Linked DNA regions of Kluyveromyces lactis. The protein of the gene in region 2 interacts with the protein of the main gene of each other region in a pairwise test. Links are inferred from orthologs where the notes say so. Each region holds a gene or a part of one and is shown on either strand. Other genes may lie near its edges.

Region 1 (2,637 bases), on a different chromosome or scaffold from region 2:
AGAAGAAGAACCATTGAACATTTCAGAGTCTCTGATAACGGACTCTTTTAACAACTTTTTCAATTTCTCATAATCGATATAAGAATCCCTCCATGGGGGATAAGTATCATTAGCTAGCTTCACACCAAATAGCATTGTGCCTTGAATTTAAAAAGACCAAATCCCTCTTTTGACAATATTATAAGGGTTATAATAAACAGCAACCCTTCCTGGTTATAAAGCTGAAGATGGTGATCAGGATTACACTTCTCAATTCAAGATACAAGGAAGCTGAACAAGAAAATAGAAATCTACCCAACTGTTTATTGGCTAAATAAAATCTTTAAGTCCATCCTTATATCTGTTTCTTTATTTGCATTTCCTTCTAATGCACTCTTTATATAATCATCGATGCCCTTATATTGGGAAAGTTGGGCAATTTTATATTGATCTTGAGTGGCACGTGGAGATGGTCATGTGATTATTTACGTCACGTGTAAATCACCTGATTTGGAATGGTCGTGTAAAGTTACCTTTGAACTTTCTAATACATACCATTTGAATATATATATATATGTACACACACAAAGCCAATGCATAGGTTGTTATTTCTTATTGTACGCTCTGATCTGTGGTTTAGCAGCAATTGGACTTGGAGCCTGAAGAGCCTGAGCCACGAATGCTTACATTTCCCTCCTTTTCAGCCTTTCCTTCCATCTTACCATCATCGATCTTTTCTTGGATCAACTTGGCCAATGTGAAGAAGATTTCGCTGACGTTGGTGTCGTCTTTGGCACTGGCTTCAATGAATGGGATCCCTAGCTCCTTAGCAAGAGCTTCACCTTGTTCGTAAGACACGGTTCTTGTATCCATGTCCTTTTTATTTCCGACTAGCAGCATTACTACATCCTCGCTAGCATGTTGGTTAACAGTGGAGAACCATTGTCTGATGTTTTCAAAAGTTCTTTCGTCAGTAACATCGTAAATCAATACAATACCCATGGCACCTCTGTAGTATGCGGTTGTGATGGTTCTGAACCGTTCCTGGCCAGCAGTATCCCAAAGTTGTAACTTCACACGTTTCCCATTGATGTCTACGGTTTTAATCTTGAAATCGATACCGATTGTGGTGATGAAAGTTGGTGTGAACTTATCTTCAACAAAACGAACCAAAAGACATGATTTACCTACACCGGAATCACCTAGAAGTAAAATCTTCATGACAGAATCATAGTTTTTATTCGTGCTGCCGTTAGCAGAAACCGTTCTTAATCCAGACATTATAGTTTCAATCTCCCTTGTTTCCTTCACGCTTCAATTAAGTGAAAAAAATTGATATCACAGTTCAACACTGTTATTTTATCTCGATATATTGGAGGAGTGGCGAGCTGGTTATATCTGGTCAACAGAATCTGGGTTTTAATAGCTCGGCCGTAAAGTGTTTGGGTTAGTGCCTTTCGTGATGGCTATCCTGCTTTCACCCTTTCAAACAATATTTGTCCAAAATCTAGATACTGATCGAATTCGTATATGGTGATAGGCATACCCAATGTCAAGTTAAATTATACGATTTATACTTGTAGATGTACATATATATTCATGTGCATACGCAGCTTGTGGGTCATCTGTGTCGATTGTGCAACTTCTCAGGCGTAGTAACTCCTCCAAAGAACACCTTCCATATCTTCTAATTGCTCCGAGGTGAACTGGTATCTGTCCAAATGCCAGGTATCTGCTCTAACTTTCTTGTATCTAGAGATGATGTTCTTTGCATCAGCACCGCACATACCGCTTGTTCTTGCCCAGGACGCTAGTAGTGCCATATTCTCTGGAATCCAATTTGGTAACGGTGAAACGTACGGGAATGCTTCGATGATGGCACCGAGACCCAAGATCGCACCGTGAATATCTGTGTTGGATTTGGAGAGTGCAGCTTTCTCCTCGAAAGTATATGAACCAAGTTGACGCTTGAAGTTTTCCAAGAGAGTGTGCAAAGTATCGGTATCATAAGATATGTTATGCACGATACCGGCAAGGACATAGGAAGCCTTGAGACGAACCTCTACAAAACTCTTACAGAACAATTTGTCCAAAACGAACTCTAAGATCTTCACTTTACCAGCATGGTCCATAACCAACGATTGTGTGGAGAAAAGTTTCTCTGCTAAAGTCAAATTCACACGTAATTCATGAGAGCTAGTCAAATCTGTGTCATCCAAGATCGAAATTATGTCAGGTAACAACGTGCGGCTTATTGGAATGTATGCAAGTTCCACGTAAATACTGTAAACCTTAATGTTGACCATTTTACAAACATCTCTCATTCTGTCTAACTTCATCAAGAAGGGTGCCAAATAACATTTAGCAAATGGACCCAGACACACTCTAGCACCAGTATTGATTAAATGAGCAGCCCAATAGAACATAGTTGATGCCAAGTAGAAATACCTAGTCTTCAAGATGTCCTGAGCGGGTAGGTCCTTGATCAACAATCTTTCTTTTTCAATTTCGTTGAAGATTTTAATAGCCCTCTCTCTCAACCAGCTTGGGATTTCTCTGATCTCAATTGGACCAGATGCCCCCGTTTCGAGAAGAGACTTCACGTTTGGACGATGAGCATTTGCCTTTATGTAGAAGATAACTGAGAAAAGTTTACCA
Region 2 (3,940 bases):
TATGACCTTCCTTTTCTTCCTCCAAAGAGCTTTTAATGTTTTCAGATTCGTTTAGAGATTTTTGCAAGTTTTCCAAACGTGAAACAAGTTCCTTATTTTCCTTTACCTTAGAAGCAAGAGATTCCGTCAATTCAATGACCTTGTTTTCAAGTTTATAACTGACTTCCTGTAGGTGATTAACGGATTTGGCTTCCGATTTTAGTTGTTTTAACTTTCTTTGAGCATAGTGCTTTCTAATGAAAGATTGGATGACCACGGTGCCCTTCTTCTCATGTAGGAAACTTTTTCTTGGTTGGAAAGATCTTACGCTCTTTTGAATCGTAACAGCGGCATCGCCTCTGCGCCTTTCCAATAACTCTTTACAGGTAATTTGCTTTCTAGCCATGGATTGAATTCTAATGATGCTGATGATTATACTGGAAACGTTATCCCTCACAGAAATACCTCTATAGGCACTTTGAATCAATAGAGCTGCATTATTCTTGAATTCGTTCTCAGTTCTTAATCTTATGATCTTACCACTAACGTTTGCCTGTAGCCTTTTGATTGCATCGACAGTCCGTAGATATGTTTTACGATAGTGAAGACCCTTAATTTTTTTCTGGATCATGACAGAGGATGAGAATAACTTATCGGTTCTTAGCTTTTCCAAATGTGCTAGCATACCAGCTTTGAAGAAAATTTTTGTATTACCAGCCTGATACTTTGCAGTATCATCCATTGTACGTTTCAGGATCTCCTTACATAAGTTCTTTACATCTTCTTCAGATGGATCCGATAGTAAAATATTTGACCAAAGCTCTGATGGTACTAATATATGGTATCTGAGGGCAAACTCTGTGTATGTCCACCTCGATGGGAACCCTGCACAAGAAATTCTAATTGTTTCCAAGACACCACATGCTCTAAGCTGTGACAAAACCATAAGATTGTCAAACTTCCATGCTTCTTTGTCTTCGTTAGGTTTGATACAACGAATGTAGTGAACGTTAGTGGAGTTGATAGTTTCCATAAGATCGATCAACGATTGTTTAAACATAGATCCTAGAGTTGGTTTTCTTACGATTTTTCTTGAGGCTGGACCGGGTTTCTTTTGACTTTCTTGCTTTTGGGCTTGTTTCTCTGCCAATTTTTCCGCATTTTTGTCAACAGTTTCCAAAATAGATAGTAAAGTTTCGTTGTTAGAAGCCTTTAACACTTCAAGATGTCCATCAGAAACTGTATCTCTATTCTTTTCGATAAATCCGTCTACATCATAAGTGACGTCCAATGCATAATGGCTAACAATAAATTGAGTTTGGCCGAATCTTGGTTTGGAGAATACTTCATTAGTTGGAGGTTTATTCAAAGTTTCATATAGTTTATGCGTCCATCCTTCATCCGTACCAGCAGGTAATCTTGATTCTTCGTCTAATAATGATAAAATACCAACTTTGTTCTCAATTAAGTCAATACACGGTTGATTATCGTTGAACTCGATAAACGACCATTCAATCTGTTCCTTTACGTACTCCTCTTGTTCTAGTTTGAAAACATGTTGGTTGAACTCTTGTTGCAACTTTTCGTTAGCGTAATTGATACAGAACTGTTCGAAAGAATTCTTTTGGAAATGTTCAAAACCATAGATATCCAAGACACCGATAAAAGTATATATCTCGCTTACCACTTCAGGGTTACATAGCACGGTGTTTATGTTGTCCACTAACCAATCGAATAATGCTGAATATATGAATTTCGCCACAGAATCACGAGAAACTATGGCTTGGTGGTAAGGTAGGGATGAGACGATCTTTTCAGACCTGGTAACGATCTGTTTCTTCGTTACCCATTTAGCGAAATCAAAAGCGTCTATACCTAACAAATCTGCCGCTATTTGTAGGTTTGGTTCATCAGATGACAAAGAAGCATCATTTCTGACCTTTTTAACTTCGATGTTACCAATATGAAGAAGGGCCGCCAAGATTTTAAACAGCTGGAATTGAGTATCCTTTGAGATACCAACCAAACTCAATGCTTCCACAGTATCACCGTATTCAGAGGCGTCATCGACACCTTCGATATGAGAGTCACCGCCCTGATTCATATAATGGTAGTCTTGTATGTCTGTAAGTTTCAACTGAGATTTTTCATCGTCGGATAAACCTGATAATATTTGATAGAAAATGTGGTAATTCCTTTCAGTTTTCGGTTGGAAAACCAACCTAGAACGTTCCAACAAATATGTTCTCACTCTGGCACCAATGATTGAAGTATCGTCATCGAAGAGAATTTCCAAATATTTACCGAATCTGGAAGAGTTGTCATTCCTAATAGTCTTAGCATTACCGAATGCTTCCATGATTGGATTAGTGGCCAATATCTTCTTTTCAGTTTCAGACATTTCCAAATTATGATGTGCGTTTTCCTCATTATTTTCTTCCACACTAGCGAAATATCTCATAATATATTTAGCCGAAACAGTCTTACCTGCACCGGATTCACCAGAAACGATGATTGTTTGGTTCTGATCTGTTGTCTTCATCAACCTATACGCTTCCTCTGCGATAGCAAAAAGATGTGGTTCCAATTCACCTCTAAGTTTCCCTGCATATGCCTGGATCATCTCCTGAGAATATAGTTGATCCACACGATCAAAGGGATTTGTGGCAATGAGCACGATCCCTGAATAAGTATAGATATTCAACTGGGCATATCTGGCCTTAATAGCATGTAAAACTGCCGGTTCATTCAAATATGACAATGACGTCAAATCCTCCGTAGTCTCAAGGATTGGAGGGTTCCTAAGTAGGGGTAAACTAGGCTCTTTGGTTTCATCTAAAGAAGACACTAAAAGCTCTACTTTCTGTCCATCCTCCAAAGTCAATTCCAAATTATAGGAATCTCCCTGCAAGGTATGTTTAGTAACTTCAGCACCGATCCATCCTTGATCTTTGCTGGGATACCAGCAGCGAGTCCCGACTTCGTACGGCATCCTATGCTGATTAACGCTTAAAACCTGAAATCTAAGATCAAATCAAATAACCAATAATTGAATCAGAAAAAGCCAACGAGCACTCAATTGAATCTGCAATGACACACGGCAATTAAAATCAAAACAGTCTCCTATTGCTTCGTACTGCTAGTCACAAGGATACACGGTGTCAGATGCCTCGCTCCCTGTATTTTCCGCTCTACTCTTCTCCTGAAACTCGTGAATCTAAATAAAACACATATAAATCAAATAAGATATATATTTGTTGTTCAAAAGATCCCACTTTTTTTTTGTTTTTTTTTTTTCCCTTCTGTTGTCCCAAGAGCTTTTTAAGTGGACTAAACAAATAGCAGGGATTCAACCTTTCGCGTCAGCGCGCCAGCAACGGATAAGCATGCAGTGAGGTAAACTTGTAGGGATATTTTCGCCTTGGTGGGGCGAATATTTGCTTATGGGGCCTCAAATTAGCCTTTTAAAAGGGTGATTTTTAGTCACGTGTAAATCACATGCACTATCCGGGTAATAGCGTTCCTGGTTCGTCTCTTCATCAGACAATTTCTATTCCAACATGAATAGAGGAAGTCGGTAGGTGGAGATAAGGCGCAGCTATCAAATAAGAATTAGATAGCAGCCTGGTTTCATTTCGTGGCGAGTAAAGACGAAAATATTTCATGGAATGAGGTTTTAGAGTTGAAATATTTTTGCTGAGGAGATTACTTTGTGAATAGGAACTTTAAACTCAAACTCAAACTCAAAAATTCGAAGTCTAATGGAGGTTAGCCATCGTGAACATACCAACCATATTGGATCCCAGGTTAACCCTTTGTTCCGCGGGTCCGTATTTCATAAGAATGATGCCGCAGATCTACGAGTCCCTTGGGATGGGAAACGTCGTAAATCTGGTGCTTCGATCAATTCTAAGACTCAGATGGGGGATTTGACCGAATTCAATCCGTCTCATCATGCCAG

Evidence for each region.
Region 1: the proteins of KLLA0_A03905g (region 2) and SEC4 interact in a two-hybrid assay, tested with the Saccharomyces cerevisiae proteins (4 studies listed by BioGRID, with this or other methods). The link is inferred for Kluyveromyces lactis from reciprocal best matches to the Saccharomyces cerevisiae genes MYO2 and SEC4.

What each region holds. Positions count from the first base shown.
Region 1 is NC_006041.1:1,073,922-1,076,558, reverse strand, and holds SEC4 (Rab family GTPase SEC4), read right to left. Parts: upstream 1,261-2,637; coding exon 616-1,260; downstream 1-615. Other genes in the region: VTC2 (vacuolar transporter chaperone), read right to left, coding at 1-135; proteasome activator BLM10, read right to left, coding at 1,626-2,637. UniProt on the Saccharomyces cerevisiae protein: Involved in exocytosis. Maybe by regulating the binding and fusion of secretory vesicles with the cell surface. The GTP-bound form of SEC4 may interact with an effector, thereby stimulating its activity and leading to exocytotic fusion.
Region 2 is NC_006037.1:347,500-351,439, forward strand, and holds the start of KLLA0_A03905g (myosin family protein), read right to left. Parts: upstream 2,972-3,940; coding exon 1-2,971. Other genes in the region: FRT2 (Frt2p), read left to right, coding at 3,741-3,940. UniProt on the Saccharomyces cerevisiae protein: Myosin heavy chain that is required for the cell cycle-regulated transport of various organelles and proteins for their segregation.